Arabidopsis thaliana: one gene and its partner. The protein of the gene in region 1 interacts with the protein of each later gene in a pairwise test. Each region holds a gene or a part of one and is shown in the gene's direction. Other genes may lie near its edges.

Region 1 (7,161 bases):
TGTATCGGTCATATACTAAGATGAGCTTCTGTACTTCCTACAGCACTGGTGACGACATTCAATGTAGAGATAGGAATTACAGGAGCCATTTTGACAAAGCTAGATGGTGATTCAAGAGGTGGTGCTGCTTTGAGTGTCAAGGAGGTTTGTTTTCTTCTTCTTTAATCAATTATTTTATAGAAATTTACTTAATGTTGCTCAACATTGATAGTTTACACTTAAATGGGTGTTACTAGGTATCAGGAAAACCGATTAAACTGGTAGGACGTGGAGAGCGAATGGAGGATCTTGAACCCTTTTATCCAGATCGAATGGCTGGACGAATTCTAGGAATGGGAGATGTGCTTTCATTTGTAGAGAAGGCAACAGAAGTTGTAAGTTCTTTCTCAGTAAAATTACAATCAAAACTATGTTTTCCTCTCCCTCTCTCTCTATCCATTGAGGCCTTCTTCATCTGTCTTTATAGATGCGTCAAGAAGATGCAGAAGATCTGCAGAAGAAGATAATGAGTGCAAAGTTCGACTTCAACGATTTTCTAAAGCAGACTCGTGCTGTAGCGAAAATGGGTTCGATGACACGAGTTCTTGGAATGATTCCCGGAATGGGGAAAGTGAGTCCAGCACAAATCCGAGAAGCGGAAAAGAATCTTTTAGTCATGGAAGCAATGATTGAAGTGATGACACCCGGTTTGTCTCTGTTCCTTTCTTCCATTCCATTAAATAAACAAGCATTTCATAAACTAGATTTTGGTTGTCTAATTCTTGGTTTAAATCTGTTGGAACAGAGGAAAGAGAGAGACCAGAGTTACTAGCAGAATCTCCAGAGAGAAGAAAAAGAATCGCTAAAGATTCAGGAAAGACAGAACAACAGGTACTCTCGCTCAGATTGTGAGCTTAGTTTTGTGCAGATCTCAGACAAGAAGAAGGAGATTCTCAATACCATTTTGTTGTTGTTGGTTCAGGTGAGCGCACTTGTAGCACAAATCTTCCAAATGAGAGTGAAAATGAAGAACTTGATGGGAGTGATGGAAGGAGGATCAATTCCAGCATTAAGCGGTCTCGAGGACGCATTGAAAGCAGAACAAAAGGTTTCTTCCATTTCTTCTTCTTCTTCTTCTTCATCTTTAACATGTACCAGAGTTTAATGGGGTCTTGTAAATGTATCTTAAGGCTCCACCTGGAACTGCAAGGAGGAAGAGAAAGGCAGACTCAAGGAAGAAATTTGTAGAGTCAGCATCAAGCAAGCCTGGTCCTCGTGGCTTCGGCTCTGGTAACTAAAACTATTTCAGCCCAATTTGGTTAATTTCTAAACGGATTATTTTTTTGTATAAGTTAATGAATGAGACAGAAACCTTACAAGTTAATTACCAATTTGTTGACAAAACTCATGATTATCTAGGTAGAAATATATTCTTATTTAAATATCATATAATCGACCAAACAAAATGCATACAAATTGTACTTTTAAATATTTCATAGGCTTTGCATAACTAAAATACTTAGATTTTAGATGGGAAAAAACATTGAAGATAACCAAGAGTATCGTCTTGGGAAAAATATCTCCCCTCGCCTCGGTGGAATATCTGGAGGTCGATCTTGTCCAATAACTCGCTGTTGAAACTCAGCTGGATTTCGGCTGTTAGACCACGATGAGCTAGTGGAGCAAGAAGATCGTTGTTCAGCCATCCAAAGTTTGTGCCTAATGGCCTTTCAGCATTAACGATTCTAACTACCGCCTCGTCTTCCGAGTCTTCCTTATAAATGACCTCGCACTCGATCTTTACACCAGCCATTCTAGACTTGGAGATTCCCATATGGCTCAAGTTTTCGACTTGTATATGGAATCGATCATTGGAGCCACACTCTAGCTCCGCGCCACATTTCTTAAGTGGTATCTCCTCACAACTTATGGTAGAAGATGATAGCTTTTCTCGGGTAGTTACGTAAATGACAAAGGTGAGATCCGACAAGGAAATTTTGGGTTTGGTAAGTTTCACTTCCTTAGCTCCGGAATGTTCTCCTTCTTTGGCCATCATCACCTGTGACTTCTCTTTTCTTTGTTTTGGAATGAGTTTTATGTTATTCACCATCCATATTTTTAGTGTTACAAATCTTCTTTATATCTCACCACAATGACTCTCAATTATTTTTATGTTTTTTTGCATTAATTCTCATTAATTGTTAATTGATTAATTAGGAGTAATTTTTATAACAAAATATTGAATTCCTATAATCTCCTTTTCACATGCATATATTATTAACTTCCAAATTTATTGCTCATGGTTTAAACATTATGTGTTAACATATTTTTATACTACATTATTATTGTATGTATTTAATATCATAGGTTTAAATATAAATTTAATTAATAATATGCAATTATGCATGGCACGGGGAACCACTAAGACTATTGTCATGATATTAATATGCTGTTAAAGGGCTTTAACGGGCTTCGGGGTTTAAAAGGCCTCAGATCTTAGCAACCGCTTAAATTCTCGGTTTAGTTTCGGTTAAGACGAATTATCATCAAATTAGAATTAGAAGTTGATATTCCTTTTGGTTCGATTCAATTTGTTTTGGAGAGAAATGTCATTTCTCCTCCGCTTAACACCGCCGCCGTTATCTCACCGCCGGAGCTCATCTCTCTTTCTCAAACATCCATTTCAACAATCTCCGAGACCTCTGAGCTCCGGTAAACCCTCGAAAATAGGGGATAAAAAAAAAATAGGGGATTGGTTTCTTGTTCATCAAGCATCAACGCCTTTGCAGTAAATTTTTTGGTGCAAAACAAAGCTCTTGATTATTTAGGTAGAAACGCTTACATATTTTTAAATTTCACAGACTTTGTATATACATAATAATTAGTTTTTAGAGGGGAAAAAACATTGAAGATATCTAAGAGTATCTTCAGGGGAAAAATATCTCTGGTCGCTTTCAATGAATATCTCAAGGCTGATCTTGTCAAGTAAGTCGCCGTTTAAACTCACCTTGACATCGCCGGTTAGGCCACGTCTGATTAGATCTTCTGGAGCAAGAAGATCGTTGAACAACCATCGTAAGTTTGTGTCTAATGACCTTCGACCTTTAACGATTGTGACAATGTTTTGCCAATCTTTCTTATAAACGACTTCCCAAGTGATCATTACATCATCCATACCAGACTTGGGCAGTTCAAAACGACTCAAGTCTACGATTTCTATTTTGAACCGGTCATTAGGGTTAAACTCGCGGTCCGCGCCAAATTCTACAACTGTTAACTTCTTTGATTTGGTTGTGTACACGCCTATGACAAAGGTGAGATCCGACATGGAGATTTTGGGTTTGGGAAGTTCCTTAGCTCCCGAGTGTTCTCCTTCTTCGGCCATGACCACCGGGGACTTCTCCATCTACTTTTAACCTCTCTTTGTTTTGGAATGAATTTTGTGTTTATATATTCACCCTCCATAATTTATATATAGTGGTACAAATCCTCAATGAATTAGGAATACTGGAACTAAAATTGATTACAATTAAATATCTAATATAGAGTTTTAATTTTCGTCATATATTCTAATAATATAGAGTATTTTTTTGAATAATTTACAAAATATATGGAAATTTGTAGATTTATACTAGCTAGGTGTATTATGGGCCATTCTGCAGCATTTCATGGTTATGAGTCCAACATTTCATACTAGGTGGATTAGATATTAAAATAATGAATTAATTTAATTACTATAATAAATTAATAATTTTCAGATTTTATTATTTTTAGAGATTTTTTATGATTTAATTTAGTATTGATTTTTTCTTATTAAATATTAGTTAGATAAGGGTGTTAAATATTTTGACAAATGTTAACACATATTTTTATCTAATTAGATTTATTCTCTGAGTTATTTCAAACTAAATTAAAATTCTCTCACAAAACAAAATACATATGTTATTAACTGATTGTAAACTTTCATTTGTGTCAACAAACTACTTTTACAGTTTTGAAACAACTTCTTATTCATGACATTTGCTCTATAATTATACTAGGTGGTGGACCTCTCCCACCATGTTACGAACCTAAATCTAAAATACATATATCAATATGTTACAATTTCAACTAAAGTTAATCGAAACGTTTTAAATTGCAAACAAAATTAACTGAAATTTAGTTTAAATGTTTTTCTACCAAAAACTATAAATCTCTTGAAATATTCAATATAGTGTGTATAATGAGTTTTAAAATTTATTTAATAGTTGTAAAGTAAAACTATTTGGGGTTAAATATCAACCTCTTACTTGATAAGATCAGGTTGGGCCTCGGGTATTAAACTCATAAAGGCCTCAGATCTTACTTCTTAGCAATCGCTTAAATGTTCGGGTTTAGGTTCGGTTCAGAAGAATTATCACCGAATTAGAATTAGAAGTTGATTCGTTTTGGTTCGATTAAATTTGTTTTGGAGAGAAATGTCATTTCTCCTCCTAACACCGCCGCCGTGTCTTCTCATTCCTCCGCCGCCGCTATCTCATCGCCGGAGCTCATCTCTCTTTCTCAAACATCCATTTCAACCATCTCCGAGACCTTTGAGCTTCTGTAAACCCTCCGCTCTCCGTCTCCGAGCCAATACAACAGTCAATTCACTAAAAGCCCTCGAAACTATTAAACCCTATCTTCAATCGGAATCTAAAACCGTCCTACTTGGCTGGCTCTGCAGCTGTGTCTCTGTTGTCTCGCTTTCTCAGATTGTTCCTAGGCTCGGCTCCTTCACTTCCAACCTTAACGCAAACGCCGCGAGCTTGACGAAGCTCAAAGGCGAATGTCTCGTTTTGGCGGGTCTGGTTTTGGCTAAGGTTGTTGCTTATTATCTGCAGCAAGCGTTTCTTTGGGAAGCTGCTTTGAATACTGTTTACAAGATTCGGGTTTTCGCGTATAGGAGGGTTTTAGAGAGAGAACTAGAGTTCTTTGAAGGTGGCAATGGGATTTCATCAGGAGACATTGCTTACAGGATCACTGCTGAAGCTTCTGAAGTTGCTGACACTATCTATGCTCTTCTCAACGTGAGTGTTTTGCTTGTTATGAATGTTTTGCGAAGAGAAAGTTTCCTTCTTTTCAGAATTTTTTGATACATTGTGGTGATTTTGGCTAACAACTATAAGCTCTACACTTCATTTATATGGCAGACAGTTGTGCCCAGTGCTATTCAGATATCTGTAATGACGGCACATATGATTGTTGCAAGTCCTGCCTTGACACTAGTCTCTGCAATGGTAAGTGAATCAATTGTCTCTGTTTGTGTCTCTTTTGCTCTAGAGTTTTCTTATTAGTTTGGGTATTGTTCTAGGTGATACCATCTGTTGCGCTTCTTATAGCATATCTTGGTGACCGGCTTCGTAAGATATCTAGAAAAGCACAGATTGCCTCTGCTCAACTTTCTACCTACTTGAATGAGGTATTAGTCTTTCCTACAATTGGTGTTTTTCTTCTTCTTGTTAATTTACGGGAAAATTACTAAAGCAGAGCTTTTTATGTTTAGGTTCTTCCTGCAATTTTGTTTGTCAAGGCTAATAACGCAGAGATCTCTGAGAGTGTGAGGTTTCAGAGGTTTGCTCGTGCTGACCTAGATGAACGGTTTAAGAAGAAGAAAATGAAGTCACTTATCCCTCAGATTGTTCAAGTTATGTATCTCGGATCATTGTCGATATTTTGTGTTGGAGCTGTTATCCTTGCAGGCTCTTCTTTAAGCTCTAGTGCAATTGTTTCCTTCGTGGCATCATTAGCTTTCTTGATCGATCCTGTCCAGGTAGATACTTGTGTCAGTGTGGCATTCCATGCCTTGCCTCTATACTTTTTTGTGTATAGAGGAGCTGTCTTATTGGGATTTTGAATCTAAAAAACATGCAGGATTTGGGAAAAGCTTATAATGAATTGAAACAAGGAGAGCCAGCGATAGAACGTTTGTTTGATTTGACCTCTTTGGAATCTAAGGTACTACACCCTATCTTTCCTCTGATCTTCTCTTCAGTTTATACTCCTAATGATTTGGTTTTGTTCGTTGTCTATCTCAAAATATGATGCAAAGTGCTTCTGGCCCTGTCTTGAAAATTAGGTGATCGAGAGACCTGAGGCCATTCAATTGGAAAAAGTTGCTGGAGAAGTTGAGTTATGCGATATATCATTTAAATATGACGAAAATATGCTTCCCGTTTTGGATGGGTTAAATCTTCATATTAAAGCAGGAGAGACTGTAGCTCTTGTTGGACCATCTGGAGGAGGAAAGACAACACTGATCAAATTGCTCCTCCGCCTTTACGAACCTTCATCTGGTTAGAAATTCTTACTTCTTAACTTAATCACAATATTAAGAACCAACGGTTTGACATCTAAGCACATATGTGTGTTTGTTTTTTTCTTCCCTTTAATAGGCTCTATCATCATTGACAAAATTGACATCAAGGATATCAAACTGGAAAGTTTGAGGAAACATGTTGGTCTAGTTTCACAGGACACAGTACGTTCCAGTCTTCAAATTTACTCCTTTCGTGATTCATCCCAAGAATTTCATAATGGTTCATCGTAGTTACATAACTTTTTTTGCACATGCAAGACTCTGTTTTCAGGGACAATTGCTGACAACATTGGGTACAGAGATCTCACGACAGGAATTGACATGAAGAGAGTTGAGCTTGCTGCAAAAACTGCAAATGCTGATGAATTTATCAGAAACCTACCAGAGGGATACAACACAGGAGTTGGTCCCAGGGGTTCAAGCTTAAGCGGAGGCCAGAAGCAAAGGTGGGGTCTGGAAGACTGATTGTTTCATATATTCTCTTCACGATGCTTACTGCGTCTTGTTCTCATTTGGCAAATGTGCAGACTAGCTATCGCAAGAGCGCTCTATCAGAAATCATCCATACTGATTTTGGATGAAGCAACATCAGCATTGGATAGTTTGTCGGAGTTGCTAGTCAGAGAAGCTCTTGAACGTGTAATGCAAGACCATACGGTAAAAGCACACATCCGATTCTTCCATTCTAAACAACCTTTTAATTGAATCATCACTGATATTATTCAAAAACTTCCTGGTTCCATGGCTCTTATGTTTGCATTCACAGGTGATAGTGATTGCACATAGACTGGAGACAGTGATGATGGCGCAGAGAGTGTTCTTGGTAGAGAGGGGAAAACTAAAGG
Region 2 (7,161 bases), on another chromosome or scaffold:
TAGTTAGTGTGATCACATACACGTAATTCCGACTACAAAACAAGATGTGTTGGTATTGCTGTACAAGATTCTGTCCAAGGAAGTTGATTCTTTCACGATCCAAAATCACTCGATTCTCCTCTAAGCAGCCTTCACAAACATCATATTATCGAGTAGTTTTTAATAATTGTCTAGTTTACCATAACTACTGTGGCTATGTGGTTTATTGGAAAAGTTGTCCATATAGAGCAAAAGTTATAATTATTTTCTATTATATTTCATAATTTAATTACTAGACAAATTTCAGAATTATTTTCAAGATTCCTGGATTTTTCCTATCTCTTCCCATTCCCAATACATTCTTTGCGCCGTTCTTACAAACTTGAACATCATAGAATCTCAAATCAGTGACTAATTTGTTAATATGATTATCACTTTAGATTTTGCTTGGTTTTCTGAAATCAAAGAAAACAAGGAGAAAATTTTAACAGTAATTTCAGTATATTTTGTATCACATGAATTTTAGTTTATATATGTAAGTTTAGCGATTTTTGTTATAAAAAATAGAACTTTCATTTATATTTTTTTTTTTCTTAGTCTCTCCGATTAACAACATTCAAAGTTAATAGTTTACAGACAGGATCGATTTTGATTGTTTTTGTTCTATTACTTGAATTTAACTTCTTTTTTTTTTTCAATACTCAAAATTTAACTAGTTAAAGAACCATTAATCCTCCAAATACCATGAAAAACTGAAAAGTTGTATTTACATTTGATTCAGTTATTTCTGTCCAATGTTAATTAAGTTTTTCTAAATCCAAATCCAAATACACAATAATTTGAAGTCAAACTTACACCAGCTCAACTTTGTTAGTGCCAAAAACATGCCTAATAAAAATTGATTTGAAAATCCACGAATATAAAGATACCGGTACTACTTACGGAAGGCAACTTAGTTTAATACAAACTCGTAGGAAGCAAAAATAGACCATTCACTCCGAAAAGGACGTAGAAGTTTAGGCCAATATAATAATTGATATGTTCACCCATTTCCTGGCACCTTATTATTGGAGTACCCACTTTTATTTGTGTCACATGGAACTAATGGACTAAAACTTGCAAATCTTAAAATGAGTCAGTAAAAGGAGGCTAGACATAAGACATTAAAGAATCCCAACATCATGATACTTAAAGATACGAGTCACTAACTTTTTTTGTCCCAATATCAATGATGAATCACCTTTCTCATTGTTGCTACTGCATTTTTCTCTTATTTTAAGACCAAATATAAACAAAATACAAGTTAATACATCTCTGAGCATGTGTTGATTCGATTATCAATCGGATTAAAGATTTGAATATACAAATCAGATTAAATCAGGAGCTTGATAAGGAGCTAGTTCAAATATAATAATCAAAATTATGGTAAACCTGAACCCATTTTCTAACAGCGAAGAGGGGCACTGGTTCGGAAACCAAGCAAGGTGGATGCGGTGACGGGAAGGGAACAATAAAATGAACATATGAAAACCATTTAGTAGGGTTTAAAAATGTTTATTATTTTTGGTAGAAGAAGGTTAAGACTTGAGACCATATAGACAGCTGATATATTCATATACATGGGCGGTTCTTGGAAGGATCTAGGGGAGCAAATGTCCCATGTTATCGGCTGATGTATTAGATTACATGCATAAGCGTTATTGTTACGATCATGTGAAGCAAAAACACGGCGTTCGAGGATCAACAGACCCACCACACGTAAGCGTCTCTCAAAAATCAAAATTGGTCTGCTACAAACCTACTTTCCCGCCAGCTAAACCAAGATTATTCATTTTATTTTTATTTTTTCTGCTACACAAAAACAAAAAACTCATCTAAGTTGGTATTTATTGTTTATATAATCTTTGTTTAAATGTTTGATAAAGAGCTCACTAACTTTATAAGTAATTAGCTAGTATATTTTGTTTAGCAAAAAAAAAAATAGCTAGTATAGAAAAACAAGCCAAATAATTTATTTATTTTTTGGTCAAGGAACAAGCCTAATAATTATGGTTGATATTTTTGATGTAATTGACATCGTAAGTATGTAATACGTCGTCCTCCAGTAAAAGTGTTGAATGGTGAACGACAATTGTAGAGCGATAACCTCATTTTTTTTAGGTAAATTTGTTTTTTAATCCATCATATCAATTCTTTCAAAGAAAAAATGAACCAACCATTTGTATAACGTGCGTTCAACCTGTTACCTCTACATGCAGCATAAAATTTGTGATAGTGACGAATAACGTTGATTACTCTTTGTACTTCCTTGATTTTAGTGAATGTAATGTTGCTCTATCGAGGTGGAGCCTCGTAACATTGGTAAGGCTACAAAAATGAACATCGCTCTCTCTCTTCTTTAAGCATTCCTAAATCGTGTTTTTGTTTTTCTTTTTGGCAGCATCTTTTATTTTGTTTAAACGCCTAAAACTGCCTTTGATCTTTTTTCCTTTTTATTGATAGAATGAGATAGGACAACAAATACCTTTTTTGCCGGGAAAATTCAAAGGTTGTTGATGATTCCTTGTGTCCGCAACTAGAAAGAGAAAAGTCTGTCGTATCAAATTAGATATTGACAAAAATGTCAAAATATATGAAGAAGTGTGAGGGGAAACCGTTGATTGAACGTAAGACATTTGAAAAATGGATATGTAGTAGTTTCTAGATTTGCTTACAAGGAATGTTGAGTTGTATCATTTTCTCTAACGCAATAGCTAACGTGCACGACTTTTTTTTTTTTATGTAAACTTCAAACAAACCACGATCAACGCGTTTACTATTTATTGCATGGAAACTATAGCAAGTGTGACAACTCATATCAATTTGTGATGAATTGATTAACTACGTAGGTAGTATAATATTTGTAAGTTGGTTATTCACGTAAGAAATATTGTATTTTACTCTTATCCAGATTATTTAAGAACTCGTTTTTCAATATAATGTTTGACATTTTATACTCGAGTTAATAAACAAATTAGCTTTACATTGACAAAATTCTGTTGTATATTATTTATAATTAATCTTGACTATGGGTAATTAAATAATATTTTTTTGGAAAAAAATACATTGGATTTTCTCAAATGATCACACTTCTATTAAAACCAAAATAGTACGTATACGCTCTAGACGATTCTAAATAGATGATTAATTTGGCTCGATTCATTAATTCAAAAAATAATAATATTTAGTGTTTTAAATTAGAATTAAAATATTAAATAATTATCGGATATTTCAGTGTTTTAAATTATTGAGGATGATTTTTGTTTAGTAATGACGTCAGATTGTCTAAGGAATAGTTTGGGAAAAAAATCTGAATCAAATATGACTAACAAATGGTTATTGGTTATTGAACTGGACCATAACAAAAAGACACACACACAAAAAAAAAAACTTTTTTTATCTGGTTTGCTCCATGGATAAGAATATAGTAGCTAGGATATCCTGATCTTTAGATAACGGTAGAACATGTGGCATGTGTTTATTGTTTATTTTTATTTTATTTTGAGAACAAAATAGTTACATTGTTTGGTTATATATAAAAAAAAAACAGACCAAAAAGACAAAACCAAAGCTTAAACAAAAAAAGAAAAGAAAAACTTAATTAGACCGGTTAACACTAAACTGGTTTATGTAAAACGGATTCATAAATGTATCTAGACATTCACTTACATAAAATTCATCACAAAATTTCACCCAATTACGGTTTTGATTCGGTATAGGGACCACCTTCAAAATTACCCAATAAATAAAGAGTGGATAACAACTAGCATAAAATAATCAAAGCATCCACTAAGACACAAAACACAATTTCATAAAGATGATGATGAATCACATAACTTTAAATAAATATTCTTTCAAAAAGGCAAAACTTTTAAATAAATATCATTCGCCTGTCGGCCAAGAAAAAAAAAAAGTAAACAAAAATAAATATCATACGTATTGACAACAAAAAATTCATACGCCAGTCCAATTACAAATTACACAATATTTAAAAATTTAAATAAGGAAAACAGAAGAAGATACAATTTCAAATTAAAAAACAAAATACGTGTATATAAAATTGAATAAAACCCCAACAGAAACGTGACACAAAAGAAAAGATTGGGGAAGCTGACCTCTGCCTTTCCTCCTCCATTAATCAAGGAATATAAATCAGCTTTAAACTCAGTCCTCTTATGGAAGACAAAAAAGCAAATATTTATTCGTAAATATAACTTCAGAACCCTTTCAACAAAACTCTCTCTGTTCTTTCTCCGTGGAGAAGTTAAAGATGACGATGTCGGAGAACTCAAGAAACTTGGAAGCTGGTTTGCTACTGAGGAAGAACCAAAACGACATCAACGAATGTCGTATCACTGCTGTTGTACTTTTCAGTACTTTCGTTTCTGTTTGTGGCTCTTTCTGCTTCGGTTGTGCGGTTAGTCATCAAATCACTCATCTTTTTTTTAAAACAATTTCTCTGTTTGTTTTGCTCTGTGATTTGAAAGTTTGGGGTTGGATTTTACAGGCAGGTTATTCATCAGTTGCTCAAACAGGGATCATAAATGATTTAGGTCTCTCTGTTGCACAAGTAAGAAGCAACCCTCTCTCTTTTCTTGAATCTTTACTCAAAAAGTGCTAGTTTTGCTTAAATTACTCTGTTTTTTTGTTTTTGTTTACTACTTCAGTACTCCATGTTTGGTTCAATCATGACTTTTGGAGGAATGATTGGTGCCATCTTCAGCGGGAAAGTTGCAGATCTCATGGGTCGAAAAGGGGTAAATTTCCTGACAATTTGAAATTCATACAAACATATGTTTCAAGATCATGTACTGATGAATTTTTCTCTTAAACAGACTATGTGGTTTGCTCAAATTTTCTGCATCTTCGGTTGGGTTGCAGTAGCATTAGCAAAAGACTCCATGTGGCTTGATATTGGAAGACTATCCACAGGATTTGCAGTTGGTTTATTAAGCTATGTGGTAATAATTCTTTTACTTTCTTTTTTTCCATTTATTTTGTGTATTATATACTTATTTATTTTTACTGACTTTGTGTTAACTCTGTTGCCTTCAGATACCAGTTTACATTGCAGAAATAACACCAAAACATGTTCGAGGAGCGTTTGTATTTGCTAATCAGGTAAACTAAAGAATAATTAGAGAATAAATTCTTATAACCATAAAATAAAAAAGATATATATTATACTAATGTTCTTAAAATTTGTTCAAATGTCGTTACAGCTGATGCAGAGTTGTGGATTGTCTTTATTCTACGTCATTGGAAATTTTGTTCATTGGCGTAACTTGGCCTTAATCGGTAAGCTTCTTCCTAATCCTTTTTTTCTTTCTAGCAGGTTAGTTATGAAATTTTCATCAAGAAGTGATTTAAGTTTATCGGTTTCTGTCTCTCAGGTCTCATTCCATGTGCGTTGCAAGTTGTGACTTTGTTCTTTATTCCAGAGTCCCCTAGACTACTGGTACGTTTAGCCCTTTTTAAGTTTTGATCTTTTTTAAAAAAAGTGTGAAGTAAAACTCAATATGGTTTACAATGGTGTATAGGGAAAATGGGGACATGAAAAAGAATGTAGAGCTTCATTGCAAAGTCTTCGCGGAGATGATGCAGATATCTCTGAAGAAGCCAACACTATCAAAGTATTGCAACTTTTCACACATCTCTCTGTTTTTAAATTGTGTTGTTTTCAATAAAACATGACTAATGAACAAATCATTGGAAATGTCAACTATAGGAAACCATGATCTTGTTTGATGAAGGACCAAAATCGCGGGTTATGGATTTGTTTCAGAGAAGATATGCTCCATCTGTTGTTGTAAGTTTATTCTCAAACGTTTTGTGACAAAAAAAGTTGATTTTCTCTTGTACCGTTATACTTACTCTCTGAAGTTTGTGACATTTTGTTCAGATTGGTGTGGGACTAATGCTTCTACAACAACTCTCTGGAAGCTCAGGACTTATGTACTATGTCGGTAGCGTATTTGATAAAGGAGGTAAATAGATAAACAAACTCTGTTTCGCATGTTACGATAATTTACTGTCTTCATTTGGGAGTAACAAATATTTTCTTACTAATGGCAGGGTTTCCAAGCAGCATTGGCTCAATGATTCTTGCAGTGATCATGGTATGTCTTTGTACGTAGTTTCATTTATTCGTGAAAAATCTTGCCAAGAAGTACACTTATGCTCATGTGTTCTGCTTTTGTAGATACCAAAAGCTCTATTGGGTCTGATTTTGGTTGAGAAAATGGGACGAAGACCACTTCTATTGGTAAGATTTTGCTATCTGATCTTTTGGTCAAATATCAAATGAAGCAACAAAATTTAGCATATATCTTTTAACAGATGAATGATCTTTATTTACAGGCCTCTACCGGTGGAATGTGCTTTTTCAGCTTGCTCCTCAGTTTTTCCTTCTGCTTTCGGGTAATTAACATTAACGATTCGCTTTCTAACCAAAGATATATACAAACTTTTTTTGCTGCTGTTTATTGGAGATTCTTACCAGTTATACTAAAATTTTTCTACTTTTGTTCTTGGACAGTCATATGGCATGCTTGATGAGCTCACTCCGATTTTCACATGTATCGGTGTAGTGGTACGTTTAAAGTCATTTCTTAGACATAATAAACAAGCAACTTAAAGTATAGCTCTTGTATAACTTGATCTGAATTTGACATCATATTACAGGGTTTCATCTCTTCATTTGCCGTAGGCATGGGAGGCTTACCATGGATCATCATGTCTGAGGTAAACAAACATGAACATTAACATTAACTCCTCAAAAACCGACATATATATATTTTTTCCAGCTCTAAAAAATGTTACATTTTTTATTTTGCAGATATTCCCAATGAATGTTAAAGTTTCTGCTGGGACTCTGGTTACCTTAGCCAACTGGTCCTTTGGTTGGATTGTTGCTTTCGCCTACAACTTCATGCTAGAGTGGAACGCATCAGGTATAAATACATACTACTATATAATATACTATAGAGTCATTAAACTCTCAAAAAAAAATTAGATCTTTAATCTGATTTAATTTTTGAAATATATTAATCTGTTTCAGGAACGTTCTTGATCTTCTTTACTATATGTGGTGCGGGTATAGTCTTTATTTATGCGATGGTACCCGAAACTAAAGGAAGAACA

What was found. Proteins that work in one complex are often made in the same cells at the same time.
Region 2: the proteins of ABCB29 (region 1) and ESL1 interact in a protein complementation assay, tested with the Arabidopsis thaliana proteins (one large-scale study listed by BioGRID).

What each region holds. Positions count from the first base shown.
Region 1 is NC_003076.8:1,054,381-1,061,541, reverse strand, and holds the start of ABCB29 (ABC2 homolog 12), read left to right. Parts: upstream 1-4,369; 5' UTR 4,370-4,436; coding exon 4,437-5,027; intron 5,028-5,150; coding exon 5,151-5,237; intron 5,238-5,311; coding exon 5,312-5,419; intron 5,420-5,503; coding exon 5,504-5,770; intron 5,771-5,871; coding exon 5,872-5,955; intron 5,956-6,076; coding exon 6,077-6,293; intron 6,294-6,392; coding exon 6,393-6,478; intron 6,479-6,574; coding exon 6,575-6,762; intron 6,763-6,843; coding exon 6,844-6,973; intron 6,974-7,082; coding exon 7,083-7,161. Other genes in the region: CPSRP54 (chloroplast signal recognition particle 54 kDa subunit), read left to right, coding at 44-144, 237-374, 467-686, 785-870, 962-1,087, 1,170-1,277; AT5G03930 (F-box protein), read right to left, coding at 1,499-2,035; AT5G03920 (F-box protein), read right to left, coding at 2,861-3,385.
Region 2 is NC_003070.9:2,863,158-2,870,318, forward strand, and holds the start of ESL1 (ERD (early response to dehydration) six-like 1), read left to right. Parts: upstream 1-4,101; 5' UTR 4,102-4,288; coding exon 4,289-4,435; intron 4,436-4,525; coding exon 4,526-4,588; intron 4,589-4,685; coding exon 4,686-4,775; intron 4,776-4,853; coding exon 4,854-4,979; intron 4,980-5,073; coding exon 5,074-5,139; intron 5,140-5,240; coding exon 5,241-5,316; intron 5,317-5,411; coding exon 5,412-5,476; intron 5,477-5,558; coding exon 5,559-5,651; intron 5,652-5,746; coding exon 5,747-5,827; intron 5,828-5,920; coding exon 5,921-6,005; intron 6,006-6,093; coding exon 6,094-6,137; intron 6,138-6,220; coding exon 6,221-6,283; intron 6,284-6,357; coding exon 6,358-6,438; intron 6,439-6,556; coding exon 6,557-6,610; intron 6,611-6,702; coding exon 6,703-6,762; intron 6,763-6,856; coding exon 6,857-6,971; coding exon of another isoform or gene 6,972-7,033; exon of another isoform or gene 7,034-7,073; intron 7,074-7,078; coding exon 7,079-7,161. UniProt on the Arabidopsis thaliana protein: Sugar transporter. Transports monosaccharides across the vacuolar membrane independently from a proton gradient.